Schizosaccharomyces pombe: one gene and its partners. Changing the gene in region 3 together with the main gene of any one other region gives a genetic interaction. Each region holds a gene or a part of one and is shown on either strand. Other genes may lie near its edges.

Region 1 (7,401 bases), 2.5 Mb from region 3:
TGATAAATAATGTTCCATAAATTAAAGTACGGTCTGCTGGTCCCTTAATCTCAAAATTGCGGAAGAAACAATTGGCGCGAAACAGCCCAATGCATTCATCAATAATATCCATTTGACTCTCATCAGCTGTATAAAAAATGTTAGAAAGTACTCTAATAACATTAAGAATAGTCTTTAAACAGAGTTGACAAATATCTGGAACATACCAGGATAAGCCGGTCCACGAAACTTGGTTTTCAACGGCAGCATTGCTATGTTTCCCGTGGTAGGGACGTCCGTAAGACTTAAGAAGGAGGAATGATAGGCCTTTCATAACATGTCAGCAACAAAAATTCAAAACTTTAGAACATACCGGCATATCTAATGTCTAGTGCTTATGATGTTGTTGGATAACTTGAGCACCTGCTGAATGTGCCGATAGGGAGCATTTCGTCAAGCATCAATAGTGATAAATTAGCTTTTCTTTAAACAAAATAGCGAAAAGCTATGTAATTACAGTAAAGCAATATAGCGTGTCGTTTTTTTGTTTTGTGATCGGGTCTCGGTCTCTACTTTATAACTAGTTTTCATCAATGGAAATGACATAGAGCCAATAAATTTGTAGCGAGAACCAAATTCATAAGCATTTGCACGAATGCATTTATTGCTTGAAAAATTATAAAAACGTCAAAAAAAGATTTTCATGTTTGGTTATTTTGATTTTGGGATCTAACGTACTGACTTATATGGGGATAGACGGTCTTTTGGGACCGTAAACATTACTACATCGGAAACAATTCCCCCCTGTTAAATCTTTCTGTGTTGGATATTTTAATACAGTTTAGTAGGTAATCTGTTTTCTCCAGAGTGACGGAATTGAGGATATATCTGAAAGAGCATGGAAAACCCTTCCCCAACTAGAACAACCAATTTGCAACGAATTCGGTCGTTGTACAGGTTACAAGAAGACAAGAATAATTTAAATATACCAGAACCTATTAATGGAAAAGTTCAAGAAATCGATACAAAAGAGTCATTGGAAAATGTGGATCGTTACGGAAACTATCGCTCAGACTTTAATGTTAATAATTTAGGGTTCTATAAAGTTAGTAAAGACCCAACATTAGATAAACCAAACCCTGCCAAACGTCTTGGCAATAAATTAATCGGCCATGATGACATGCTGAAGTACGTTGATGAAAGCATCTTCATGGTTGTTCCCGGCGAGTCGCATGACCGCAACGAAATATCAGCTAAAGAGCTTTCCCGTATTCAAAAATGGAAATCGATGTGTTCAATACACCTCGTTTCCGGTAATCAGCTCCATTCTTTTCGAAAAACTCGTAAGTTAATTTTACGTACATTTAAGGGGATTCCAGATTGTTGGCGATCTATTGCGTGGTGGTCCTTTCTTGTGGATTCTCTTCCTGATAAAAAACTGATTGACAAGTATTACCAATTGAACGAGCAGATTTGTGACTATGATGTTCAAATTGACCTAGATGTTCCCAGAACAGCTGCTACACATTTCTTATTCCGAAAACGCTACATTGGAGGGCAACGTTTACTATTTAGAGTTCTTCATGCTGTAGCTCTCTATATACCTCGTGTTGGATACGTTCAAGGAATGGCTTCTATTGCTGCGACCTTGCTCATTTACTATCCCGAAGAACAAGCATTTATAATGATGGTAAATTTATTGGAAAATAGAGGCATGGGGGACTTGTTTTCTTCCGGGTTTGATACACTTTTAAAGGCTTTTGACATGCTTAAGCATGAGTTAAGTTTTACACAATCAGGCAGACATCTGGCGGAAATTGGAGCAGAACCATCTGCTTTTGCTACACGTTGGTATCTCACTGTTTTTCATCAATGCGTGCCCTTCCATACTCAATTACGTATATGGGATCTCCTGTTTTTATTAGGTGGAAGCAAAGGTCAAACTGTCAGGTTATTGCAAGCCACTTCTCTTGCGGTTATACAAGGAATGTGGGACACGCTAATTGATGCAGACTTTGAAGTAGTAATGCAAGCTCTGTCAGGTGTTATTCCCATTCAAAACGATAACGCCCTGCTTGCTAGAATTCAATTATTTTGGGAAAAAATGCCTTCTGAAAATTCTTCTAAAAGTAAGAGAAACTGATATTTCTAACTCTTTTTTAATAGCTTTATTAATTGTGGCCCACATGATGTAACATATGTCAACAAGATGAGGATTGATATCACAGAGCTTAGCATAATGGGTCCTGAACATTTATCATTTTCTTTTTCTGTTTTAATTTGGAACGTTGATAAACATTATTTCCTTGATACCACAAAACTTTTATTGGTATCAAGAGTATGCGCTTTAAATCGATCCTATCTAACTCTCTCTTCTTACTAATATTATAATTTTAACATCTCACCAAAAGAAATGGAATTTTAACATAAAATTAATTCAAGTATATATATTATAAATACTATACATATATATGTATACATAATACCTCTCCATCTTGCGACTTCCTAGGTGCGTCGTAATTTCTAATTATGTATAGCTTAAATAGTTAAATATTACCAAAACACTGACGACAAATAATAAAATATAAAGAAGGTAGTAAATGGGTTGAAAAATCAAATAAAACAAGGTATGGGGTTACTCTTCCTCGTTCTCTTCTACATTCTCTTCTGAAGAACGAGATTGATGAGAAGACGCAACATCAGCAAACTTAAGGATTTTGTCTTTATACTTGGTGACATCCCCGGAACTGTCTTCTATTATCCAGGACTGGACCTTATCTTCAATCAAGAATCGCTTGGAACTATTTTCATCAAAAATCACTACAACACTGGAATCCTTCAAGTTCACCTCCATCTCGATAAAAAGTCTCTCATGTTTTCCTTTACAAACAAAAGCGCATCGACCAACATCAGTTAATAGCATAACCCTTTGCTTTCTTTTCAAAAACATTTTTGAGAGTCCAGATGGAAACTTATTACCCTCAGGTACACTTGGAATGGGTGATACGAAGACCGAGGTAGATTCAATGATCGACTCAGACGATGGAACCAACTTGTAATAAAGTCTGTCAACAGGCATCTGATGGCTTCGAAGTGAAGCATAGCCATAATGAGCAGTTGGAGCAGTGAAACGATTTACCGTAGGAAGCTCCTGACGTCGAGCAGTTTCCTGATGCTTTACAATGGATGCAGAAGCAAATGCCGCGGCAGCATTAGCAGCAGCTGCGGCTGTCACATTTGAGCGATAATAAGCAGGAGCATTAGGAATGGCTATGTTATAATTAGGCCGGAATGACTGCATAGGAGGAGGATCTTGAGTCCATAAATTGTCCCAAGTAATAGTAGCAAAAAAAGGAAATTGTTTTATTTGTTGGGTTGTAGATCGATCAGATGGCTGAATACGGAAAAGATGGCTAAACAAAGGAACGATATCAGGTGGTAAGAGCTTTGGAAGCTCATATTCCAGGCTCATTATCTTTTTGAAAATATTATTAGGATTGCTGCCATGAAAAGGAGGGGAACCAACAATCATTTGATAAACAACACACGCAAAAGCCCATAAATCGGAACTTAAATATTTGTCAGAAAAAAAATAGACTGGGATAATAGGTTTTCTTACGATTTTGAAACAACTTGTCTAGACAATAGTTCAGGAGCAACATATTCCGCAGTGCCAACAAAGGAGCTTGGAAAGGTAGTGTAATCAGGGCTATTTACATATTTAGGGGGTAGGATTTTGGCTGTGCCGAAATCGGTAATTTTTACATGCATATTTCCATCAAATAAAATGCTAAAAAATAGGTTAGAATTAGGAAAAGGAAACGAACATTTAATGACCACTACTCAAACATACTTTTCTGGCTTGAGATCTCTGTGAATTATACCGCAGGAGTGCATATACTCGATACTTGATAAAATCTCAGCAGCATAAAAGCGCACACAATTCTCATCAAGAAAACGATACTACCAAAGCTTAGTTAATAAAGGAAAAATGAATAGACTAATGAAAAAATATACCTTTTTGATGTATTGCAAAAGTTCACCATTGGGTGCAAGTTCAAGCACATAATAAAGTTTTAAATCATCCTGAAATGTATGGAAAAGACGAGAGATACCAGGAAACCCATTAAGTCTCATCATAGAATCTCTCTCTATATTCACATACTTAACCTTATTTTCCTTGACAATATATTTTTTATCAAGGACTTTGATAGCGTACTCCTTCCAACTCTTTTTATCAGTTGCTCTTCTCACCTAACGAATATTAGACAACTTATTCGTCAGTAATCGAAGGTCCATAGGTTAATCGACCTGCGGTTGAAAAACTTCTGAACTGAGAAGCAATGTATCAACTTACCTTTGAGAATGATCCATCTCCTATAATGTCACCAAAAACGTAATCCGCCGGAGATTTGATCGATCCTATATGACTTGTTCCTGGTACTACGTTGGAAGACTGAGGTTTTACCGGATTTCTTTCACCTCTAGCCTCGAAGTAATCGGGATCCGCATAATCCGGCAATGTACTTCGGCTAATGCGTTTATGCTCCAGATCCATCATTTATAAAAGAGGTTTTCATGAAAAATGAAGTTGTGTTTGAGTTACTTTACGTTTGCTGTTCGATTCCAACTGAAACACCGTGCATTTAATTGTGGAGTTGCTGGCCTTGGAGTTGTGTTCTGTGAAGGATGTAAACACTAAGTAGAGTACCCTATTTCTCCAATCCTCGTCATTATTACATAAATTTAAAACGTAGAATATGCCATGTAAACAATAAATTAAAGGTCGAATTGTCAAAGAAAAAATGCTCATTAAGCAGCTTGATAGCCTTATCATACCCATCAAAGTCTTACATCGCATTAATGATACTTCGATATGACCTGAAGATGGTAGTACAAAAAAATTGCTTTGGGTGTTTATAGCATTAGCGAAAGCGATACAATTTGGAACGGCAATGAAAATTTTTTTAATTCAATGTTTTAAGCTCACGCTAAGCTATCCATGGCGATATTCGCTCTAAAAAGCAATAAATTGCTTGAATATGTTTGAAATAGTTTATAAATAAATATATATATGTACATATTGTTGAAATAACAGACACCTAAACAAAAGAGATTTTTAGAAAGCCAGTTGTCTTTGGGATACTGCCTTACTAAAATAAGCAAAATACACTGTAGTTAATGAAATGCTTCTTGCCTTAATTCCAAAATTAATTTGGCGATTAACAGAATTTGGAACATCCCCTATCACCTCAATATTGCTTGGAATTCTGCTTCGCTAGAAATGAAACATAACATGATACCTAATTCACAGTTTAGAAGATCCGTCGTAAGAAATTCTCGTAAATATATATACATCATTCCAGGTCGAACTTCCAATATCTTCATTTTTTGTTAAAAGATCATGGTCATATTATTTTCATTCTTCAATAGCTATGGTTTTTTTCATGTTATTTGCGTAAGTAAACCAAATATAAGCAGTCGTCAAATATTAAGAAAACAAAATCTTCAGAAACCTTTTTAGTCCCAAACTTTTAGATTCTTTCATTCTTTCCTATGTTAATTTCTAGCTGAGCACTTTCAAGTTCAATCCATGGTTATAACTCTGTAGTCGGCTGTAACTTTTGATCAAAAATTTTTAATACTATACCCTTATCTATAGTCGTTAAAGAATTTCTTAAAAAATATACGAATTCTTTCAACACTTTTTACAATTGAATAACAATTTTTTATATTCATACTGCAATTTCATATGCAGGTAGCAATGTTACCTAAATTTTGGCTGCTTCTCAATACCATACACAAGTCCCTAATCATTTTAACCTTTCACCAAACTTCTGAAAATGGCCACTACTGTGAAAGATACTATGAATGTTGACATTAATGCTATTAAAAAGGGGTATGATTGCGGGAAATTGATTTTGAAAGTTCTGACTTTGTAGAGAAATTCGTATGGGTACCACCATCACGGCGCTCCGTTATAAAGATGGCGTTATACTTGCTGCAGATTCTCGAACAACTATGGGTGTGTATTGGAATATCAGAACTTTTCGTTCTTTGATTTCTAACGTTGCTAGGTGCATATATTGCAAATCGTGTCACTGATAAGCTGACTCAGCTGACAGACAATATTTGGTGCTGTCGCAGTGGTTCTGCTGCTGATACGCAAACTGTGGCTGATCTTCTAAAATACTATCTTTCCATGTATCGGTAAGTTACCCTTGAATGAACCGAATGACTGTAAATTAAGGCTGCTTTAGCTGGTTTATCCTTTAGAATAAACTATCGACTTACTCTCAAGTCCTTATGTTTACTAGATGATTACTAAAGCCTTTTTGCATGTTTTATTTTTCATTTTATTGTTGTTAAAAAAATTATCTAACGATTATGAAGTATTCAATTTGGCCATGACCCTAGTGTTCATACAGCTGCTACTTTAGCTTCTGAAATGTGTTATCAAAACAAAAATATGCTTAGTGCAGGTTTAATTGTTGCTGGATATGATGAAAAAACTGGGGGAGATGTTTACAGTATTCCGTTAGGTGGTAGTTTGCATAAGCAACCTTTAGCTATTGGAGGAAGTGGTTCTGCTTTTATTTATGGATTTTGCGATGCTAACTTTCGCGAAAATATGACCCAAGAGGAGGCTGTTGAATTTTTAAAGAACGCTGTTGCTTTAGCCATGGAACGCGATGGCAGCAGTGGTGGTACCATTCGAATGGTCATTTTAAATAAAGATGGAATGGAGCGTAAATTTTTTGCCATTGATACTGCTAACCCTATTCCCGTATTTACTCACTAAGTACTTCACGTTTCCTTTTATTTTACGTGACTATACTGATACCCAATGCTTATGCTAGACTTGACCTTATTAATGCCTGTCTCATTATTTGTAGCTTTTGGAGTGCAAGGTCATGAAGAAAAGTTACTTTTCTGGTCAGTGAGATAAGTCTTTGTGATGATTAAAATAGAAAGATTTTTTATAGTTACAGTTAACTACCGAAGTGTAGTTATATTGTTGATAGTGAAAGAATATTATTGTTATGAGTCCTATGTAATTGTCATAAGAGTAAAAATGTTGTAAGATGCCTGCAAGCACATTTAAAATTTTGATTATCAGCTTCATACAAGAAAATTGTAATCAGCCATGTAAAATATAAAATTAGTCCGAACACCGGTAGACCCTTCTAAAGAAGAATAAAATATGATGTGTCTTTTTTTGTTTAAAATTGAATGCAGAAATTATGTGAAAAGAACAAACTTTAACGGTAAGAATATACACGGTGAGATATGTATTAAGCTCTTCAACAGGTACACCGTAGTTACAGGTCAAGGAATGGAAGTGGGACAAAAAAATAATGAAGCATGAAAACATTAAAGATAAACGCCCCCCTTCATTTTTTATTCTACAACATAGTCATG
Region 2 (8,769 bases), on a different chromosome or scaffold from region 3:
AGTTCTAGTGCTTGCCGCTACCAATTTGCCTTGGTGTATCGACGATGCTGCTCGTAGACGATTTGTCCGTCGTACCTACATTCCCCTCCCTGATGAGACCACTCGTCGCTTACATTTAAATAACCTTTTAAAATATCAGAAGCATTCTCTTTCCTTAGAGGATATTGAGGCTATTGTGAAAGCAACCGAATATTACTCTGGCTCTGATTTGACAGCATTGGCAAAAGACGCAGCTATGGGGCCTTTGCGAAGTTTAGGTGAGTCTTTGCTATTCACGAAAATGGAGTCGATTAGGCCGATTAATTTAGATGACTTTAAAACTAGTATCAAGGTAATCCGGCCTAGTGTGAACTTGCAAGGGCTGGAACGATATTCAGAATGGGACAAAGAGTTCGGATCCCAAGGGCATTGAGTCTGTCTTCTTATTTAAAATTCCTAGCCTGATACCGATTTTTTTGGTAATCACGTTGAAAATTTATTTATTGTCTTTTAATACATGGCTTGTGCAAACTTATGATTATAACTAATAAGGACAACTTTTGCCTCAAGGAATTATTCATGATGATAATAATGGTGCTGTACCAAAAGCCTTTTTGTTTACTCCTAATATATTCGTTTGTCTCTTTTTTGTTGATACAATTTATGCACAGTCTTTGAATTTTTCAAACACTTAATATTAACTGAGGTTATCTCTAACCCTAGTTATTGTTTGAGTTTCCATTTTTATTACGACTCATTTACAAACAACTAAAACTCCTTACTATGATTAATTAGTCAGTACATGTCAATATTTATAATTTAAATGTTTACAGTTTTTTTATTCTATTGTTCTTTTAGCGAATCTAAGAGTTTACAGTATATCACTTACGAAATTATATTGCAGTTACACTATAGAAGTCAAGTTGTTGGGATGCTTTAATTATGTGAAGATGCACACTCAGCTTATGCTCTTGCGATGCCTAAACCTATAGAATGGGTATGATAACTATTGATTGATTTAGCTGATCAAATAGAATGAATTTGATTCAGGAATGGGTAGTAAGTTGGATGTGTCAAGTTCCTTGAATTCATCGTCTTCCAATATGGATCGTGACAGATCGGAGTCTCCGAAGCGACATGTCAACGGAAGCAATTCATTGAAACGTGGCTTGCATTTTGATGGAGAGCACACTGAAAGAGACCCTCACTTGGGAAATGGCCAAAAGTACACTCAACAAGAGCGTCGCGTGTATGTTGGTAATTTGTCATATCAAGTTCGTTGGTTTGAGTTGAAAGAGTTTATGGGACAAGTTGGCAATGTTCTTAATTGTGAGATTTTGAATCTTCCGAATGGATTATCGAAGGTAAGTTTGCTTCATAGAGGGTGGGTTTCATGCGACTAGTAAATCATTGTCTATTTAAATTGTAACGTTGAATCGATCCAATTGAACGTTACTTTTAAACGATTACTTATGGCCTATAGCTTATCCTAAAATTTGTCGTATACTCAGATTGTGAATAGTCTAGCTAATATATCAGGGATGCGCGATAATTGAGTACTCTACTGCTGAAGAAGCGCGCACGGCAATTAAAACTCTGAGCAACCAAAAATTTATGGGCCGTCTTGTTTATATCCGTGAAGTAAGATTTTTTTTATGTCGCTTATTAACCTTCGTAAAGGATCGAGAACAAAATGCAAGATTTGGCTCCTCTTCAGTATCGCCTAGCGCGTCGTCGAATGGCAAAGATTCTGAGCCAGACAGGCAATTGTTTGTTGGTAACGTAAGTTCAATTTCTAATCCTCTATATTCTTTTCCTCGAACTTTGGTATTTTAATGAATTGTGGAATTGCAAATAAGAAATGGTACTAACGAGTATAGTTACCGTATAACGTTCGCTGGCAAGATTTAAAGGATTTGTTTAGACAAGCTGGTTCTGTTATCCGAGCTGATATCCAAATGAACCAAGAAGGCCGATCCCGTGGCATTGGGATTGTTGTCATGAGTTCGATGAAAGAAGCCATGCATGCCATTCAAATGTTGCATAACACTGATTTCATGGGCCGCACTTTAGAAGTTCGCCTAGATCGGTTTGCACATCATAAAAGTAAGCCGTATTCCACTCATGGAAATGGCTATACGTTTCCAGCGGAAATGCAAATGACTACATCATCCACCTATCTACCCATGTTAGGTGCTAATACTCAAGTCGAGGATTTAGTTTATCATGCGTATCCCCATGGACCCTGCTCGGATTGCATTTACGTTGGAAATGTATGTATATAAGGACGCTTTTGTGGGATTAGTTTTCCGCATCATTTTAAGTTTTTTTTGGAGATTACTGACTGAATATAGTTACCTTGGGCCACCTCAGATCGCAATTTATTGGACCTATTCACAGATATTGGCTCAGTCATTCGTGCCCGAATCGCCTATGAGCCCACTGGCCGATCTAAAGGTTTCGGTGTCGTTCAATTTGAGAATGAAAATGATGCAGCATCCTCAATTGAAAAATTAAATGGTTATCGTTATGGCGGGAGACCCTTGCAATTATCATACGCTCACTATGCGACTCCACTACCTGCTGTCCCTACTGTGCTCTCGGGTCTTCCTTCAGTCGCTTATACACCACCTGTTATGCATATCCCTACAACGAATTCACCACTAACGCCCCAATCTTTTACAAATTCTTTCTTAGGCTATCTACCGATTTCAATGCCCGTTGCAAACATGCCCGCTATTGCTCCTATTTCTGTAGCTTTACCCGAAAATAATATTGAACATTCTTTGGAGCCTTCTTAAAAATTCGCCAATACATCTGAACTTCTTTTCTCTTTACAATTAAGCACATTTCCGTAGTGTGAATGGCTAGCTCAGTGACGACATGCGCAATGTTCTAAGGCAGTTATCCTAATATTGTTTGCTTTTCTCTATTTTTTCTTCAAATTTTTGCTTTAATTCCTAATCCCCAAATATTCTTATTTTCCATGTTTATAGATTTATCTCTTTTGTTTGATTTCAATTTTTTGCTAAGATCTTATTCTTTTCCGTGACACACCAAAGTATGCTGATGGCATATATATTCGTCTCTCGTTCTTCTAATTGAAGTCTTTTTAATTTTAGCTTTACTGTTTTTTTACAGGATGCCTAGTTTCCTTCTTTTACAATTGCTAACCATTTCATGGTTTTAATGATATTTTAGATTTTTAGACTTCCATTCTGTTAACTTCCAGTTAACCAAGTTTAATCTTTATTGATTAACTACATTATTTTTAAAGTAAGGTGTATTTAGGTTAAAAATCTTATTTAAGCATAATGGTAAATTTCGTATAGCGAAATGTAGGTGTTGATTGTTTCTTACCTTCTTTAGTAGCCTTATCAATGAAATACAAACATTTACTTCTATCTTATTCCCCACATTCATAAAATTGATGGTCGCATACCTGGCTGGCATATGTAAGACGACAAGCATCATACGCATGAAGTCTACCTACCGAGTCCTTTACTCATGAAAAATCCTTCAATCTGTACGTTCTTTCCGTTTGGACGTTTTTTCAAGTATTTTTCATAATAAAAAATTTAAATTTCTTTATTAAAATTATTTACATCAAACTATAAAGAGGAATGGCAACTGTAAAGAACTTGCGAATTGGCAAAAGTCCTAATCGGTTGATTCAAGATTTAGACGTCTTTGATAGTCCATCAGCTGGATGGAATGATCCTTGGAGTCCTCATAGCTCAAGATATCACTGGCAGCTTCATTCAAATTTAGGCGAGTCCGCTGTATTTGACGAGAATGACTTTTGGTGTGTTTGTCAAAAAACTCGCAAACACTTACATGTGAAAGTCCGAAGAGACAGGGGGAAGCCATTAATTGAAGAGCCTGAAGAAAATTATGGAATAAAAGATAGGATTCCTGTTTACTACGAAGAAGAGGAATTACCTGAACCTCATGTGACTAGCCCTACGAAAAGTGAATTCGCTACTACCTCTACTTGTATGAAATGGAGTAGCAAAACAACAAAAAGTGAAATTGAAGTTGAATGGAGAGATAGCTATCTTGATGCTAATTGTATCAAAGAGATAATTGATTCCCGACGTCCATCATTTGCTTCCCTTTTAACTAAAAAATCGTCATCTCATCAAGGGTCATCCCATTCATCCCAACCTTCTCTTTTTACTACATTTACTTCTTTGGAGTTGTTTTTACGAAACGTGTTGGTCCATAACGATCAACGTGCCATTAGCGCTGCCCCGGAAGGAACTTTTGAGAGACATGTCGGAAAGGGCCGCCAAATTCAATCTTTGATGAAATCTCTTCTGTTTGAATATCACCACGAAAATGTAAATTATGTCCCTACCATTGCGGACGCTCCCCTTACTGACGAACAAAAACTTAATCTATACCTTGCTAGGAATGAACTTATTGTTTTGGCTAATCACTTTCGTGACACTAAAGAAGATCCGGCTATTGTTGCTAACCCTTTTCCCGTTAGGTTGGCTCGACCTGCTTTAATTAATGCCTTTGGCGTTCCTAACTATGATAGCGTGGTTCCCATGTATACCACAGTTTTTCGCGACAATTCGGCCTCCTTACCTGATGATCCTGCTTTTATAGCCTTGGGTATCACGAATGATTATCCAGACAGCTTTGTCCGTTATTTCTATGAGGAACAAAAAAAGAACGATGAAGCTAATGTTCGTGTTTATGCGGATGCGCTTGCTCATATATACAATTTACGTAAAAGCAGCTTTTTGAGAGATCTAATTGCGGCAGATAGGAAAAATGGAATCGTGTCGAGCGATGTAATACAAGCCGCTTATTCGAGTTTAGGACTTGAAGCTGAGGTAGGCCCGGATTACAGGTATAGTCAAGAAAAAATCTTTGAGGCGTTTCATTCTGCCCTCCTAAGAAAACCTGAATTTGCCAGAGCTATTAGGAACGATTTGGAGACTATTGGCTATGCAAGAAAGAGTTCTGAAATTTTAAATTATGTTTTGTCTACAGAACAGGCTTTTTATACGGTTAATGAAGCCTACCAATGGTTGGGCATTAAGTCTAACACCGAGGACGCCATGGTAGCTTCTGTGGCCTTAGTGAAATTTGAAGATGATAGCGACAAAGCCATCGAGGCCGTCAAATGGATAGCTGAAGAGAGAAATAGCTCCATTTTGTACGATTTCTTGGCTTCACAAGGTAGACCTTCCAACAAGAAGCCTAAAGAAGTGCCTATGGATGAAGATCTAGCTTACAACACATTAGGTGTTCAAGATCGTGCACTATCAGATGACGTTTTAATCAATGTATACGGCTTTGCTGTTGAAGACCACCCAGAGCAATCAGACACTTTGAGAGCAGCTTTGAAATGTATAGGAGAAGTTAGGAATTCGCGTTTAATCACTCATTATTTAGAACATGGAAATCTAGATATTCCACCAGAAGTTTCAAGTTTGGATACTCCGATCGGTTTGGAAAATACTGGTAATCTTTGTTATTTGAATTCCCTGATCCAATACTACTTTATTATAAAACCTCTTCGTAATGCAATTTTGGATATTGATGAAAACAAAGATCTTAATATGATTGAAAACAAGGAAGCTGTCAAGAAAGTTGGTGGACGGATTGTTACTCGAATTGAATTCTTGAGGGCTTTACAATTCACTTATGAACTCCGAAAATTATTTATTGAACTCATTACTTCAAAGTCATCGTCTGTTCATCCTTCTTCAGTACTGACATATCTTGCTTTAATACCTCTTACGTTGGACCAGGTCAAATCTGGAACATCCTCGGTTATGGATTTGTCATCGTCTCGAGAGTTGAGCAATTTGAATGAGAGATCTATCACTATTGACCCCAGAGCAGAAGAGCAAGCTCAAGGGCTTGAACAAGAACAAGGACAGGATGAGGCCAAAAGTCCAGCGGAACAATCTTCATCAGTTAATTTAATTGATTTTCCCATGGCCAATACTAACGGAGAGTCTCAAACACAACCTCATTACTTTGAAGTATCTGAAGAAGAAATAAACTCCTCCATGGATTTAGGTCGTCAACAAGATGTCTTGGAATGTATTGATCACGTTTTGTTTCAACTGGAAGCTTCACTTGGTCGTATTTCCAACTCAGAAGATCGTCTTGGCTCTGATAATGATCTTATACGACGTTTGTTTTCTGGCAAACTAAAACAAACACTAAATGATGCTAGTCAAGGAGTACGGTCTAACTATGAGATTTTTTCTCACTTGATCGTTGACCTTTTCGAGGAGAAACAAACATTGTATGATGCATTGGATGGTGTTTTTGAAACAGTCAATATTGATATGGGAAGCGAAACTGCCCAACGATCCTTGTGTATTACTGAGCTACCGATAATTTTGCAATTACAAATACAGCGTGTCCAATTTGACAGGACTACTGGACAGCCTTTCAAGTCTAATGCATTTGTTGAATTTGGAAAAGAACTTTCCATGGACAGATATGTTGAAGATACTGATGGGAAAATGGCACCTTTACTACAAAGGTACTGGGATCTAAAGCGTGAAATTATCAACCTTCAAAAACGACAACAGCTATTGTTAACTACAAATTCGAATCTAATGTCATCTGTTGATACATTGTCTATTCTATCTAAATGGGCTGCACAGCAGCAGGATTCGAGACTTCCTATTAATCCAAAACTTCCTGATATCCTTCAAGAGGAAATAAACAATGTTGTCGCTGAAGTGGATATGCTTAAAAAACAGGAAGCCAGCTTAAAAGAAGAAAGGACGCATCTTTTCGATAATTACATCAGCCATAGCTACGACTTGCTTGCTGTATTTGTGCATCGTGGACAGGCTTCATTCGGTCATTATTGGACTTACATTCATGATTTCGAAAACAATGTGTATCGAAAATATAATGATGAATATGTTACTGTGGTAGATGAAAGCGAAATTTTTGCTGATACTACGGGCAACAATGCTAACCCTTACATGCTTACGGTAAGTCGTTATTATTTCCCATTTGAGGGAAATAATCATTTTCTCAAATTTTTTCCAGTTTACATATAGCTAACATTTATCTAGTACATTAGGAAAGAGTATCGACACATAATTGAATGTGTTCACCGTGAACACAATCTTCTGCTTTAAAAACTATGTGAAGGGTAAAAACTAGGATGGATCATCCGTGATCAATTGCTATGAATGGAGGTTGGAAGTTGTAACGTTTTTCACGATATTAAAGCATGGAAGCTATGAATTCATATTTCAAAAATCTATTTATACATAAAAATTTAGTTATACTTTATACATCGGTACGGGTTAATAATCTATTAGTCTTTACTATAAAGAGAAAATTTTTCTATGACAAAATTGCAAAAAGTCTAGCAAAAAAATTGAAATGTAAACAAACGGCTTTTATTATTAAAATGGCGATTATCGCAAATTTTATTATAAGTAGTAATCTTTGACAAAAAATGTAATTAATAGATGAAACTAGTAGAAGTTTCCAATAAATAAGTCAATAAATCACTATAGAAGTACCATGGAAAAAACATAAAAGTAGCTGTAGAATCAATAGCAGGTTTTAAGGTAATTTGAACGAGCTTTGTACAAAAATACATCAACAGTGCCGTGAATGTGCCAAGTTATTCATCAAAGAGAGCGAAAAGTAAAATGATGCGTCGTAAAAAAAATCAGGTAGGGCAAGATTAACTAATAAACTAGGTATTTAAAACAAGGATCATCCGCCCATAAACCGAAATAGAAAAAGAGAACATGTTTAAAGAAAAAATGAAAACTATAAGGGAAATAAAATCTTAACACATAAACGAAAAAGTAAGGAGCCGATTATTTTGTAAAGTATACGGCCGCAACTAAAAGAACCTATAGATCGTGACTAAACCACTTCTTCCGGAGACGTTTCACCAGGTGAGTCTGTCCGACTAATGGCATTCTTCATACGGCGTATTCTGATGAACCCAAAGGTGTCTACTAGTACCAAGCACCACCCGATTATAATGAGAATAGAGCCTATAAGCTTCTGATGTGGTAACTCGTCGTAATTGTATTGATCGTCGTTATTCTCCATCCCACTCTCCGAAATCATTATGTAGCCACGTTGAAAAAGAGTTAAACTAAGTCCAATTTGAGCACCATAACGACCCAAATGAGTCGTCGATAAGACATATGTGACAAGAAATCCTACAAAAGGAAAGAGAATAGCGACACAAGCACTCCATACAAAGGAGAAACCAGTTCCAACGGACATCCCATCAATGTAAATCTCGTTAGATCCGTAATCTGGAATTACCATAGTGGTATCCCAGTAAGGAGGGGCGGTATCCGCAGCAGCCTGTTCATAAGAAGGGGGCTCCTCTTCCAGTTCTTCAGTATTAGATTCCACTGTGGGTTTAGCAGATAAATTAGAGAAGACACTATCAACGTGATGGCCATCTGCATGATTTGATGAAGTGCTGGGAATTCGATCATTGCTACTACGTACATGCCCAGAGTCGTTGCCAGGATCCGGCGTTGATAAATGTTGGTAAAAAGCTTCTTCTCCTTCTATTGATGCTCTGGCAGAGCTATATAAAGGTGCTGTTTCACTGTATTCCACATCGTCGTCTGGAGGCTCGAAAGCAGCTGCCAATTCCGATCGATTTGTAGACCGGTTTTCCGGAAATTCAGGTATTGGAGTATGAATTGAATTTTGCTAAAATAGATTTGTTAGACTGATATATCAGGGAATTTAAACAGTATAAAAAGAAGGCTTATCCTTACATTTGAATTAGTACTCATGGGAATT
Region 3 (8,223 bases):
CCCCCGCCATCCTACATACTATTTTCACATTTACTCTATCCATCCCAAATTTACCCTAAATTATCTACCACCATTCAAATCCGCTCTCTACCCAACAACCTCATTTACATGTGCCAATTCCTAAATCACATGTTTACCATGATATGTCTAACGGTATTCGAGGCGTGATTTCTAAAAAGTCATGCAATTCAACATAAATTTTCCCCAAAATTCATCGATAATCCTGTTACCTTTTTTTGTTATAAATATTCATTCCCTTTTCTCTTTTCTTTCACATTTGTCAACGCATTCTCTCACCGTTTCACTTGTCTCAATAGCTTTTTTACAAGAGCGTTCACTCCCATTTCACTTATTTCTTGTCTCCATTTTTTAATTCTCTGTAAATTTTATCCAATTCCTTTCTCAATTGCTTTTATATCGAGAAACGAATTAATTTCACCTGACTATATTGATTTGTAACCCAACCCACTCATCATTGATCGCACTTTTCCTTACCCATTTGTTTACTGGATTCCATCCGATAACCTATGCAATCCTAAAATAGCGAGACTCGTGAAGTAACATACTGCGGGTCTCGCTATTTCGGTGGTGGTTTTCTTCTCACTATTTCTCTATTTCACGATGGGCAAATTTTTCTTTATGATGAAAATATCTTTTTCCCTTTCACGTTCCAAGTTCTGAAATCATTACTTACAAATTACTAAATTTCCTTTCTAACATCTTTCTCACTACTTTCCTAAATTACTCCTCGATGTGTTATTGCCATTGCTCCAACTTTCTCCGTTCTTTATACTTGAAATACAGTTAACCCTTTATAATGACTACCATTTTACTTGCTATTACGACTCGCTATTTTTGCGTTATATTGCTACTATTTTCAACCTTATAGGAATTAATGTTTCAAGACATCGATCTATTGAATTTAATTGGTTTGATTTGATTTGAATTATAATCTACTAGGAGTCTTTTTCCTTTTCAGAACTTTTTCTACGTTTGTGTATGACACTGTCTCTTCTTCAACTACATCTACATGAACGAATCTTGCCAGTAGTGAAGGTTAGACATTCTATTTTTTCATGAGAATTTTACAACAGCGACATGCTGTTTTGCTAAATTTGGATGTTTCAATTTGCTATATTTCTAGAATCAATAATACGTATTATACAAATTTGCTCTTCATTTCAATGTAAATAAAAGTATCAAGTTTTTCTATTCAGTAGACTTAGCGTATAGGGTTGACGTAGTGTTGTTGACTGAAGTGTGGCATATATTACTAGCGAAGCTTTTTTTTTTTTACACTTTGCTTTAGCGAATTCGCTTAACATTTGCCGTCAAAAATTGTTTAAAATAGGAATGCCGAGTGAACCACCCCCCTAAATTGCCAACTGATTAAACGTGTTTCATTAGCACTTGACTTTTGGAAATATAATAATCATTACTTGAAACTAGTTATCCCACTTCGCATTGCTTACCCACACCTACAAATACCTTAACATCAAATCTTTATTTACCCTTTCCCTCTTCCAAAACGCCAGTTTGTTTTAATAATGCAATAAAAAAATACTCTATGAACATACAAGGAATTACCATATAATGGCAACATTACGGCGTGGTATGATATGTTATGATATGAACAAGCAACATTTCAAACTACATAATTAAGCACTATCAAACAGAAAACACATGTGACCACATAGCCATATAAATCACACACATATATATATTGAAAAACTTCATAAATTCGATTGTCCCAATAAAATCGATTTTACCCTTCCATTAATAGCATCTTGTCCGCAATTATTTTTAGCCTATTTTTGAATCCTTATAAAAAGCATTTTCCAACTTCTACGTTATCAAACTTTTTGATCATAAGTTCAATTTAAGCATTACCGTACCAACCTCCTGGTCGGTTTATAAATGACTGGTTGTATGCATTATAGCCTCCTAATCCATTACTACCTGCATTGGTAGATGCTCCAGAGTTGAACGGAAACCCAGCGGGTTGGCTGTTTGCATTGTTGACCTTGTTAGCATTGCTTTGAAAAGAGGTTGTCTGCTGAGTAGCAGCATTGGTCAATGGCGTTTGTTGAGGAGGTAAGCCATAAGGAGAGGCCGCATTGGCACTAAGGTTTTCAAAACTTCCAACATTACCCATAAACATACCAGGAGCCGCACGTCCCATCCCTGACATGGAAGACAAACCACCCAAAGTACTTGACATGCTGTTCGCCCCGGTTACGCCTCCATTTCCAATCACAGAGTCACGATGTCCAGCCGCTTTCTCAGTCATGCCGCTAGTATTTGCAGTGGCATTATTAATTGGGTTGCTAGTTTGTGTTCCACTCATACCACTTACATTGCCAGGCTGTTGTCTGTTGTACACGTTGCTGTGTCCACCAAAGATGGGAGGGAAATCATTAAAGCCGCTCTGAGACATGTATCCTTGCTGGGGCTGTCCAAACTTGTTATTATTGTAAGGCATCGTACCGTATCCATAAGACACATAAGGAATAGGATACATTGGAGGAAATGCATAAGGTTGGGGCTGTTGTTGAGAAACAACAGGGCTAGGAGTCGCTGTTCCAGCAGCAGGTAGAGAAGTAGCATTAGAAGATGCAACCTTGTTATGCATTACCGAGTGCACATCTGGTGTATTCGACGCACTACCAGCGACATTATCATATTGTGAGTATTGATTACGCTCATTATAGTAATGAGCTGCTGGTGCAGCTTGACCATATTCAATAGGAGACATAGTAGTGTATGCTGGATGACTAGTCTGTTGATATTGTTGAGAAGTATTTGAAGCATATCCCAATTCAGTACTATGGTCGATGTGTTGAAAATTGTCGAATGGGCTATTGGCGGAGCGGTTTTCCACAGGATTCATAAATCTAGAAGAATATGGAAGTGCAGTTGTCTCCCCAGCATTTGAAGATGCAGTTTCGTTGTTAAAAGCAGCTCCGGTAGACGGAGGAATAAGACTAGCACCAGCATATGGTTGAGGGGAAATTCCATGTGTAGCAGGAGAATAAATACCGCCATATCCGGCACTTTGTTTACCAACCACCGGGCCACTTGTAGCACTTGTGGATGCAGCGGGTATAGTCGTTTGGGCTGATACTTGAGGAGGGATGGCCGAGACAGAAGAGGCGTTTCCACTGGCCGGTAAATTTACATCGTGTAAACCACGATATGGTGTCTCGTTAACATGAGATTCCTTCAAGTTTTCGGGAACCTTCGATTGTGGAGCACGGCTTTCATATGCTGAAGTGTGTTGTTTCTTTGGGATTTTGGTGGATTCAGCAACTTTGCTCGCCTCTTTTTTTGCCTCTGGCTTTGGTGAAACTGTCTTTTTAGGAAAATAGGAACTTCTTGGTCCAGACTGTGCTATGTTGTCTGAAGAAGACTTTGTCGATTTTTTGTCCTCACCCCCAAGTGTCAAGCTTCCGAAACGCACTTGAACCTTTTCGGGAATAGCAGCAGTATTAGCAACAGGCATAACGACGGGGAATCTATCAGAAAGTAATCGAGCAGTAGTCATACTAGTTGTAGAGCTTTGAGAGCCAACAGCGGCTTGCTTCGCAAAGGAGGGCTTAGGTAGGGAAGCAGAAGAGATGTTGGAAAGCCCAGGAGCGGGCTTGACTGCATTTATGGCAAATGGGGCAGTACTCTTTTTGGGAGCTGAGGTAGCTGTGGAGGGGGTCGTTTCAACATTTGCGGGAGTTGCAGAGTCCTGGGATTTGTGAGGGAAAGGAACAGATGAGGATGACAGTTCAGCAGGTTTTTCGTAAGCAGCGGAAACATTAGTTTTAGAGGGTTGAGAAGGAGCGATAGAGGGTTTAGAAGGTTCGGATTCGGGAGCGGGAGCGGGAGCGGGAGTGACCTTTTTCTTCGACTTTGCAACTGAAGCCCAAGCCTTCTTTATAGGCTTTGAAGATGCAACAGCCTGATCAGCCGCACTGGTCGACTTTGCTGAGGCCGAAGTACCGCCTGCGGTGCCGTTCGTATTTGTTGAAGCAGCGGTATTAGCCGATGTTAAAACTGAAGCTTGTTCATTAGATGTAGTATGATCTTTCATTGAGGAATCTTCATTAATAGTACCAGGATCAACGGAAGAAGACACTGTCGTTGATGCAGGAGCTTTGGTAGAAATTTCTGAGGAAGGAAGATCGCCAGTACCAGCAGGCTTTTCTAAAGAGGATGGTGCATGAACGGAAGAAGGATCTGAGGGAGCTCCTGCTTTTGATTTTCGAACCCCCCGAGAAGTATCCTTAGAAGCGGAAGGTTTCTTTGATTTACGTGTAGCATTACGAAAGGTGGAAGAGACATTATCGGAAACTGGAGCATGACTTGTTGGTTTGGACTTTGTTTTAGGGATTGGCTTCTTTTTAACTTCACCCCATTTGGAGGCGTGACCTTCAGTAATATGCAATATGGTCAGTTCCAAATCCCGGTCCGCTTCTTCTAAAGCAAAACTTAAATCATCAATCGTCCAGCTAGGAAACAGCTCTTGCAATACGCTTAACTGCGAATCACGATCAAATTCGAGCTCAAGCGCATTTGATCCCTCTATATTACTAGTCTGAGACGAATTTGCCGGGCCAGATTTTCCTTTGGTGCCTCGCCTTCCCTTCGCTCCTCTCTTGGCGGAAGAGGATGAAGTTTTATTATCTTGCGATATATTTAACGCTGTATCTGTGTGTTGCTTTTCTGAAACTTGTTCGGTATTTCCGACCTTCTTTGGCCGAAACTTTTTATTCTCACTCATTTTTGATTCTACTTTTCTTTACAAAAATTAATACAGGTCTTGAAAATCGACAAGGCACGTGTATTCGTGCTTCAAGACGATATGCAAGATTTTTCGTGTTATTTAAGGGTAGTGGTTCTGGCTGCGTTTTGGTGTCGTGCAGCATAGTGCTTTTGCTTAAATGGAAATTGCCTATACCAGAGCAAGGTGGTAGTGAATGCGCTAAAGTGCAAACTATAGCTTTCCTTGAAATTTTTATACATAGAAAAACTTATAACGTTATAAAGAACAATGTTATTGTTTAAATTTTACTTTACTTTTTCTTCATTTTTGCGATTACCTTTTCTAAAAGCTTGATTTATATAGTAGTGGAGTGCAGTTTACTATTGTATTTAACGATTTACCGTTGTGTATCTTTATTGCTCTTAAGACAATAGCTAGTTAGCTGCTTGCCTGAATACATGAAAATATGATGAAAGTAGAGCTCATTGTATTAACTTTTCTATTGCCCAATTTCTTCGATACTGTTAAAAGATGTGCAATTCGTTTAGCTAAATTCAAGTTGACTAAACACCTTTCGTTCCATGCTTTGCTATTACAGATTCCTAACACGTTGGTATGTTTAGAAATTTGCAATGCAATATCGGGTATTCAGTTGGTCAATTTATGAAAACTTTAATTACTGCTTCAAGTAATAATCCATCCGTTCTAATTACGCGGCTTCAGTAACATTCGAAGCTCTTCATTCACTTTGTTGGGTTCAAGTGAACCACACTTATAAACGTGATGCCCTTTATCTAAAAAAATAAATATGAAGCCTGCTAATATTAAATTAACAATAAAAACAAGAAACATTGCTTTGGCCGGGAATCGAACCCGGGTCGAATCGATGGCAACGATTCATTATACCACTAAACCACCAAAGCTTGTTAGAATGCTCTATTAAAAAGCATATATCTATTTAATTGTAGAGTTATAAAAACATAGAATATTGATAAAATAACATTATAATTTATTCAAAAAAACTAAATTGTACAGCTGAATAATCGCCTAGTTATATTAAGATAAATTCTAAAAGCATTATTATCAAAGTTTCTGTCAATGCTTATAACTAATGTGTCAAATGGTTTGATGAAGCGTTCGCATTATTTTACTATTTCATCTTTAATTTTGTCATTTTTTACAAATTTTCGTTGTTTTTTAAAAAAAATTGCTGTGAACTTTAGTAGTATCATCTCGCAATTTATATTGATTTTTCTTCTTTTTATTTTTATTTTATTTTTTTATTCAATTGTTAGTAACCAAAATTAAGTCACCATTTTTGGCAATTCAAATGACTAACTAATTATAAAATAATAAAATCAAACGTGCTAAGATTCTATGTTTAAATTGCTAAAGTCAATACTCTCTTCTTGTGAAGAGTCCATTTTCAAAACGACAACATAACAGAAAACTGTAAAGAGTAATGAAAAGAAACCCACATTTCAAGGAATAGCATATCTATCTATTGTTGCACTATAATTTTTTAACAAAAGCGGCACATTAGAAACCATTTTCTCAAATAAAAAATTGATTTTACATTGAAAACTGTCAACGATGAACAATAAACAGTGCATTCGTATGACAACAAGATATGGACAAGTTAATTCGTACGCTAGAATTGTTCTCAAATGTTTACAGATAGGTTTGATATATTTCAAAATCTTTATTTGTCACTATTTTTTACAGTATCATCAACAAAGCAGCATAAAAAATTCAGTGAAGCCGTTAACATTGTAAGAATAAAATAATATTCCGAAAAAAAAAGAAAGGAGCCTACAGCACCCCGGATTCCCATGTTGTCTCCAACCATAGTACTAACGAGGCCCTCAGACGCTTAACTGCAGTGATCGGACGGGAACTGGTGTTTTCGCCTAGGTGTGGCCGTAGACAGTTACTAAGCATATTTAATAAATTTATACACATACCTAAAGCTGCGAACAAGTATTAATCAGGTTTTGAAATAAATGTAATTTATATTCCTTCATGTGAAGCTAATAAAATAAATTGATAATAAAGATATCTTACTTTAAGTTCTCATATGTGTTTAAACTGAGTATTTACAATCCAGCATATTTTGTGTTGTTTGAGAATATGTCTCCAAAAGAAGTGCGTCTTCTTTTATATAAGTAGAAAGTAAAGGGACAAAACAATTTCAATTCTATTCATTCGAAACGCTTATCGGGAAAAGTATTTCCGATTCAGAGGAATAAAAAAGAAAGACAAAAAACTTCAGTGGTTTATTCAAATCAGCCAAGACGAGTCCCAAGTTAAAACGACAAACAGTATTTTAACATTATTGAAAATATCATAAACTAAACCGATTTCAACCCTTTCCAAAATCGACCCTTCTCGAAACTATTGGAAACCAGTTTATATGTAATACAATGGCAAGACTGAATTTCTTATAGTATGTAAAAGCACTGTTTTAAAGCATAATGAAGATATCTCTAATCCCAAATAAACATTGAGCTTGCGAAATTTACGAAGCATATTAGATTGTGTATCTAGAGGTGAGCCTACTTTTTTTATTTTTCTTGATTATCAATGAAAGAATTCTAAAAAATATGTAAATTAAATAGATATAATGTTGAACTTTCGTTGGCTTGTGGGTTGCCATTGAATAAAACTAGTTCATTATCCACCACTTTTCATCAGCCACCAAAAGCACATTCTGCTTAAACGTTTGGCTACAAAGCACGGACACATTGTTTTGCCCTCATTGATACTAAAGTACGTTTCTGATTGAATAGCAGCGAGACTTAGTAGCGTGTAGTCGCTTGACAGCTTTCTTTTTCCCTTCCGATAATTACAACTACTACTTTCTATTTCGAAAGCGTAAAAGTAGTCTTTACATGCTGTATTTTACTGTTATTCTTTGTTATAACAGGTTTTAGAAAAGAAGTAAAATCTTTTTCTTTTCAGAACGGTTATTCTTTTGGTTTTGAAGTTCCAAAATTTCTTTTGTTTCTAGCGCATTTAATTATTTTGAAATATTATTGGGCCTGCATATTTGTTCTTCCTTTTCATTTCTATTTGTGTTCATTCTTTTAATTGTTTGCTTTCGTTTTGTCTTTTCCATTTTTTTCTATATACTTATTCGAAAATCTCATTTACGAAATATATCATCCATCACATCTCACATCCTTATCTGATACTTATTTATTACACATTTTCGACAAATTAGAACTTCCCTCTTAATATATCTTGCGCTTATTGTCTATATGAGCAAAGTCGTCGATTCTTTTGATTTCCTTTAGTTATTATAACCCCCCCTTTTTTGTTGGTTTCTAATAATTCGCATTACTGCGTTTAACACATATATTCTTTCTATACTGACTAAATGAAATGACTGACGAGAAGCATGTTTACGTTCCTCCTCCAAAGGACCCTCCTAGCTATGAAGAAGTAGCTCTTCATTCTGCTTTAAACAA
Region 4 (7,099 bases), on a different chromosome or scaffold from region 3:
AGACTAGAAGAAGAGACTGTAACGGGTGTGGAAGTCGATGTAATAATAGACGTTGGCAAAACAGATGATGAAGACAGGCTGGCAGACGATATAACACTGGAAGGTAAGAAACTAGATGTGTTATAATAAGGAGAGCCTGTAGTAGTAGTAAACGATGAAGAGCTGGGAATCATAGACGTGTTTGTAATGGTGCTAAACGAAGAAGTGCTCGACGCTGGCGGAGGTAAGGTTACAATGTCGGTCGATGTGCCTGTCGAGACACTAACGTCTGTAGAGTATGGAAAACTAGAAGTAGCAGATGAATAAATGGTAGAATTCGCTGTCACAGTTATAGCAGTGCTTGGAATAGAAGTGCTAGCAGAAGCATGACCACTGTTGGTTTGTGAACTAGTGAAGGTAGTCATGCTTTGAAAAGTACTACCAGTAGTAGAAGAGATACCTTCGCCGCCAACAATATAAAAAGTACCAGATTGGGCGTAAATAACAGAGTCGTCGCGAATAGACGTAAAACTAATTTGGTAGCCATAACCTGGCGAAAGATCTAAAGCAGGAAATGTGGCATTTTCATCAAAAGTATTGATGGTCATTATGTAACGGCTTGTTGGTGGATACTCAACTTCGTTTATTAACCAGACATTAGCCTGCAGGGGATCAGTGCTGACCACACTCCATTCCAAGGGTTCAATATGTCCACTAGTCCAAACGTCTGAAGAAGAAGGAACATTAATTTCCATGCCAGCACAAAGCTTGGCTAAGCTAATTAATAGCCCGCTGATGGTTAATCTTCTCATTTCTCAAATAAATCCCTAGTTCGGCAATTGGCAGTGCACAGGCCTTCAGCAAGACGAATACCCAACTAAAAGTAGATGGTTAAGGAAAGAAAGTAAGCGAGAAAGGCGACTTAATATAGCACTTGGGTTTCTGATATGACCTAAGTGTATTAATGCTCAAAAGTGGGGCAATGCTGGAAACTGTATCGATGTAAACAAAAACAATCGAAAAATTGTGGATTCCAGAGAGACATTTATATTTGCACCTAAATTAGATAACGCATTCTTGGGTCGCGTTACTATGGTAACATTGGTCGACTTTGTGTAAATAAACATCCAGCACTACTGCAAGAAAGTACAAAAATGACGTTAAATGTAATTAAGGCACCACGTTAATTCAATGAATCTGCAGGTTCTTGGTTAAAAACCAGCAGAATGGCTGGTAAAAAAGGTTGGTTTCTCTCAAATTCACCTAAAGGCTGGATATATTGCCTGTTTAAGAGGCTGGTGTAAATATAAAACTGTTCATTTGAACAATTAGTGCACAACAATGTTAGATATGTTGCAATGATATTACCAATAAACGTAAGATGGTAAGTACGCATACCGATATGTGAAGAGCCCACCAAATATAAGATGGTCCTCCGTGACTCAAGGTATAAGTGGCATATATGTCGGAACTGAATTTTGACTGTTTCAATGAAGCCTTCTTCCATCGTTGGCCAATGAGTTTTTGAATCAGAAATGTAACAACCGAGGGTGTGTTCTTGGAGGACTCTGTAAGAACATCATTTGTCGCGATCAGTTTGACAAAACCAATATTTCCTCCAAAGTACCCCATTGCGCTGGGTAATGTATGTTCGATGGCACCGTTCGGGTGTTCGTAGTCACAACCCATATGATCATGGCCAGAAAGGACCAATTTGATGCTAGGAATCAATTCAAAAATTTTCATAGTAGTATTATACGATAAATGATTTTGAGACTTGACCCGAAAATCCAATTGACGAACGATTCTCGGTTCGTCAACACACACATTAGCTGGTTTGTAGAGTGGCACATGGGTGAACAGTATGGTTGGAATAGACGGCTCTAAAGCAATGTCGAAAAGAAATTGCCAAGCATCCCTAGCTTCTTTTGAAAGAGCAAGTATACCTAATGATGAAAAACTTTTACTGTTAATAATATCGCTAGGGTTCGCATCGTAAAACTGAACATCATCAAGCGAAAGGCTATTTATGCCGATCACACGGACAGGAAATTTAGAAACATTGAAGTGCGAAACCCAATTTACCGGGCCCATAGCTTGTTCCCATTTGCTAATTTGTGCGTCTGAACTTTCGCAGCCATAGCCAATGTCATGATTACCCGCAATCGTCCAAACGGGAATGTTACCGTTTTCAAAAGTACGTGCTGGTAAACTGGAGTTTCCTACTTGCCAAAAGTTTTTTGCCCCAGTGATTTTTTTCAGTCTTTTAGCTCTTTTGTTGAATTCTTCGTTATCCAAGTGCTGAAAACTGACCAAGTCACCCAACAGAATCATCGCATCTGGTTGACCCCAAAACTGATTCATATGTACAAGGTGTCGTAAAAACAAATCATTCCCCCAAAGATCTAAAGTGCCTTTAAAAAATCCATTTGCTTCGATTTTATGATTCCCTTCAATCTGAGGATCAGCAACCCCCATAATAACAAAAGAATTTTCATCTTCGAGTTGCAGCTTTCTTGGCATTATGCCAAATAGTAGAGGATAGGCATAGTAGACAGCTAAAAAAACTAGGCAAAGATAATGTAAAATAGACAGTTGTTTGTTCAACCATAATAAATTCGGATGTCTTGCAAACATTATTGACTTAATTATGTCAACGTAAATTAAAAAAGGGAACGGAGAGAAGGAGCGATTTTTGGAGTGCCTATTTTTACTTAGGAGCAGACTAAACGAGTAATGTAGAGGCGTAAGATTTTGGTTTTTGCTTTACTTACTAGATTATATAAATGGTATACCACCATAAAAGTGTCAATAAAGCTTTTTAGAAAGATTTGCTTTCAAATAACAAGAAATGAGCAGAACAGAATAGAAAAACAAAAAGCACAAATGAAACAACAAAACTTATTTTTCTAATCCATGAAGCTAGTAAATGGGTAATTTATAGGTATAGCTGCAGTATTCGAACAAACCCACTGCTAAAATTTAGATTGCAAATCAATGGTCAAATGATTGATTCAAAATTCCTGAAAAAGAAGCTTGGTTCTTAGAAAAATGTGTATCGATGTTTGCCGTTGAAATTTTTTTCTGAATTGAATTAATACCAAGTGTATCAGTATAACTGGCTTAAACAAATTAAAAAATAAGCTTTCTACTGAATGTAATAGCAAAAAACGGCTAATAATCTTGACCGAAGTTTGTTTAATGATGAACAACGGATATGACTGAAATTGCTTGAAGTGTATATCAAACTAAAGAAGGAATACCTCAAAACATGGAGTTGTGGCTGACAGTTTTCACGAAGAAAGGAATGGAAAAGAGCGTCGAATTTCAAACATAAACGTTTCTTTTAGAGCTCGTCTTAGCTGCCAAAGTTAACCCGGTACACTACTTAGTATTAATAGGTGAATTATGACTGACGTTTTTTACATTAAACGGATGGTAACATGTTACTTGAAAACAGCAGTCCAAAATTTTCGCTGCATAGACGGTAACGGAAATTGAGTATTTATTTTTTTTTGTAGAAGTTTTTACATAGCAATTTACTAAAATGTCCGACGATAGAATCAATTACCTTAAGAATAAACTTGTTCAATATCCAGATTTTCCCAAAAAGGGAATCTTGTTTGAAGATGTAAGATTTTATAGAAGGAGGAAATGCGCGAGGTTGGATAGGAACGGTGATATTATTTTGCTCAATTAGCGTGAAGTTTGAATCCAAAATACAATTCGAGAGGTTATATTATCTTTACGCCTTGCAATTGCTTAAATACTCTGTTAAATTATAAACAATAAGATGCTAATGTTATTAGATAATGCCCATTTTTCAAGATCCCAGAGCCTTTGGCATCCTTATCGATCTTTTGCTTGAAGCCGTTGAAACTGAATTCAATAACATTGATGTGATTGTTGGTTTGGAGGCGCGTGGATTTCTTTTTGGACCTACGTTGGCTTTACGTGCAAATTGTGCATTTGTCCCTGTCCGTAAGCCCAACAAGCTTCCCGGTGATTTGGTCGTCGTAAGCTACAATAAGGAATATTCTACTGATTCTTTTGCAATCCAAAAGGGTACTATTAAACCCGGTCAAAGAGTCTTAATAGTTGACGACATTCTTGCTACTGGTGGCACCGCCTTGGCTGCTGATGAACTCGTTACTCGTTTGGGTGGTGAATTAGTTGGACATCTCTTCCTTTTAGAACTTACATTTCTTCAAGGACGTAAGCGTCTTATGGCTCCTACTTATACACTTCTTACTGGACAGGATGAAGCACCTGATGGTAGTGAATTTGCTTAAACTATGAACTCGAAGTATGTATAAGCATTTCTAATTTTTAACGTTATATTTGCTTTATTCCTTTTTTATAAATGTTTAGGGTTCTGGGTTTTTTTCTATGGTTTATTCGTCAAGCTAGGATTTTTTTAGTCTAAGTTGTAAATTGAATAAGTTATACATTTTTCAACTAGTATTCTAAAAAGTAGGATTTTTGTTAGCAAATATATATAAATCGGGTGGAAATCGATATCTTAAAATGAAAAAAAAGAAAAAAGGATGCAACATCATAAGGAGAAAAGCTTATAAGGGTCATAAAGGGTATAATTTTTAGAATGGTCAATACCACGCTTTTCTTTAATATAAATAGGTAGATACATTCAGCTTATTATAAGCCTATTGACGAATCCACGTTATAATATAGCCCTCGATTAAAAGTATAATTACAAGAGAAAGCTGAATTATCCAAATATACTTTTATTAAGTATTGAATGGATAAACATCTATAGGCTTTGAAATCACGCAGCACAAATATTTTTTAAATAGTAAAAAGCATATATGACCGCAAGTCTATACACATGCGTAAATAAAAAATCACAAAACAGCGTTATTCCTAGCTGTTTATGCATTTCAGACACAAATATAGGTTTGAAACTGGAGTTCCTTGGAAGTACGAAGGGGCGTCAAAGTCTGATTGACGCACAGAGACGTTGGCCCATTTAGAAACAAAATTGTTTTCATTTTTTAAGAGAATAGTCGGAGGGATGTATGGTTTAACCCAATTGAATAGACTGTTTTGAGAATGAATATTTTCTAACGGATTAATAAATTCACCATCCGTGATGAGAATTAACAATCCTGCCTTATTGGTATTTTTTGCTTGCTGCACCCATGAGCAGTTGCCAAGTGGAGCAATATATGCTGTATCTTTGTCGAGAGTATCGGAGGGTTTTTGACACATACTGTTATTTAACAAGACTGTCTTAAAAACCTTTGAAGGTAAAGAATTATCGTTGTCAAATTGAAGGAATTTTCCAAACGTTTTTTGACCACTGTTCGGATTTTCTAGCTGAGCAATAGTTCGATCAAAGTACAATGCATCAGGTCTTGTGAAGGTCTCATAATCCGGATCGGTTAGGAAGACCGTGTCATTCTCATTTATAGATTCAGCTCCAGCAGTGTATAAAAACAGAGAATTAGAACCTTCTTTTTGAACGAATTTAAGTTTATTACCGATAATGTCGGATATGTATACATTATTGGTTACACGTTCCACTGATTTTATAGGACTAACAAGTGCACTTCCATAAAGGAGTTCAAAACCATCGGAATACTCTGGCCTCTTGCAAACACCCGATGGATCAATTAGATACGAGGGTATTGCTTTGTTATCAATTCCTACTAAATGAGAGACATAATCGTAATCGTCTCTAGATGCTATCAACGAATATAACATTGGCCATTTAGATCTGTCGTAATCTTCTGCAACACAAACTTCTCCACCGTCGTAAATTCTTTGAGAGGTAGACAGTCGTGTTTGATTTGTCACGGGAAACAAATGACCTTCTGTCGTAAAAATAAAATCATGGTGACTTCTGTGAATGGGATTATCATCGTCAAATAATAGAAACAAATATTTAAGGGTTTCGCTCAAAAAGAAACTTTCCATTCGATTCGAAAGTGTATACTTTTCTAGATTCTCTACTGCCGCAAATCCACAAGGAGTCCATAGGTGGTTTTCGATATTACTTAGCAGTAATTCACCGACATGAAGATAAAATACATCTTTAGTTGCCCTGTATAAATAATATGTAGACTCAGCAAATTCAGGACGTAAAGGATAACCGTTTAGTTCGATGGACTTTGTATACAAGTTGTAGCGCTCTGGTAATTGCCCAAACTTCAAATAAATAGAAAAATAGTACAAATGCATTTTCTTGGCAAGCTCCAGTTCGCCCGCCAATACCAATAACCCAGGGAAATAAGCACTCAAAGAATCAACCCAGCGCGACATCACCATGCCATTAGCTGAATAAACGTTTTGATAGTAATATTCGTTAAGAGAAGCGGTATAATGCCGTAATGATTCCAAAGACTTTTGCCAAACTTCTAAATACCGAGGATCTCCAAGAAAGATATAAGATTTAAAAGCATATTCGTAAAAGCTATCGATGCCTGCACCGACTCCTGAAACAGGATAAATCCATCTGCCACTCAAAACGTCGATACTATTGCCCAAAAGACCAATACCTGACCTTCGCTTCCATACGGAGAAAAAAGCGTTTTCAGCAGAAGCTTTAAACTTATTATTCCCAGTCAAAGCAGTAAGCATAGAAAATTCCAATACCAGGCTGGAGGCCGCAGCAGCACAGTTTTCGGTTACCTCACGATACGCGACACCCTTCATTAGATTGATTCTTGCAAAAGGAATTCCAGTAGGTGTTCGAAATGCAGGAAGTAAACGTTCTGCTAGTTCTGTAGCCAATGTCAATAATTCACCCTTATACAATGGGATTTGAAATCCATATTTTTCTTCTGAGGCAAAAATATGAGATGAAAGTAGTCCTCCAAGAATTCGGATGGTTGCTTCGAAAACTTGTACTTTTGTGTCTCGTTCAAAATTAATATGATGAATGACTTTGTCAACAGCATCCTGAAACCCTTCTCGGTCTCCCAAAACCACCAAGGTATCTAAAACATCGACCAATGTCAACAAATAATCACCTCGAACATCGTTGACACCAATGTTGTTAGGATTTTCGTAGTCCGGTCCCAACCCTTCGCAGGACAATGGGGCGAGCTCATCGTTAGGAAAGGCAAATTGCATGTAATTGTTATATCCATGATAAAAC

What was found.
Region 1: mutations in def1 (region 3) and pdk1 together harm fitness more than expected from each alone (negative genetic interaction), as found in Schizosaccharomyces pombe (one large-scale study listed by BioGRID).
Region 2: mutations in def1 (region 3) and ubp2 together harm fitness less than expected from each alone (positive genetic interaction), as found in Schizosaccharomyces pombe (one large-scale study listed by BioGRID).
Region 4: mutations in def1 (region 3) and ted1 together harm fitness less than expected from each alone (positive genetic interaction), as found in Schizosaccharomyces pombe (one large-scale study listed by BioGRID).

What each region holds. Positions count from the first base shown.
Region 1 is NC_003423.3:3,111,847-3,119,247, forward strand, and holds pdk1 (serine/threonine protein kinase Ppk21/Pdk1), read right to left. Parts: upstream 4,664-7,401; 5' UTR 4,541-4,663; coding exon 4,337-4,540; exon of another isoform or gene 4,234-4,336; coding exon 3,997-4,233; intron 3,943-3,996; coding exon 3,833-3,942; intron 3,770-3,832; coding exon 3,599-3,769; intron 3,549-3,598; coding exon 2,615-3,548; 3' UTR 2,385-2,614; downstream 1-2,384. Other genes in the region: arc3 (ARP2/3 actin-organizing complex subunit Arc21), read right to left, coding at 1-126, 207-306, 353-358; SPOM_SPBC1778.09 (GTPase-activating protein), read left to right, coding at 878-2,122; proteasome core particle subunit beta 1 Pre3, read left to right, coding at 5,823-5,878, 5,922-6,004, 6,057-6,189, 6,373-6,781; alpha-1,3-galactosyltransferase Otg3, read right to left, coding at 7,381-7,401.
Region 2 is NC_003424.3:3,483,723-3,492,491, forward strand, and holds ubp2 (ubiquitin hydrolase Ubp2), read left to right. Parts: upstream 1-3,471; 5' UTR 3,472-3,602; coding exon 3,603-6,962; intron 6,963-7,046; coding exon 7,047-7,112; 3' UTR 7,113-7,377; downstream 7,378-8,769. Other genes in the region: spg4 (AAA domain-containing protein), read left to right, coding at 1-412; hrb1 (RNA-binding and mRNA export factor), read left to right, coding at 956-976, 1,014-1,343, 1,519-1,620, 1,660-1,761, 1,860-2,252, 2,334-2,780; bsd1 (heavy metal ion homeostasis protein), read right to left, coding at 7,861-8,676, 8,745-8,762.
Region 3 is NC_003423.3:567,609-575,831, reverse strand, and holds def1 (RNAPII degradation factor Def1), read right to left. Parts: upstream 4,895-8,223; 5' UTR 4,772-4,894; coding exon 1,880-4,771; 3' UTR 1,512-1,879; downstream 1-1,511. Other genes in the region: Transferrin receptor-like protease Tre1, read left to right, coding at 8,138-8,223.
Region 4 is NC_003424.3:4,080,160-4,087,258, forward strand, and holds ted1 (phosphoprotein phosphatase), read right to left. Parts: upstream 3,347-7,099; 5' UTR 2,617-3,346; coding exon 1,324-2,616; downstream 1-1,323. Other genes in the region: protein adg2, read right to left, coding at 1-791; apt1 (adenine phosphoribosyltransferase), read left to right, coding at 3,527-3,610, 3,789-4,271; alpha mannosidase Mnl1, read right to left, coding at 4,861-7,099.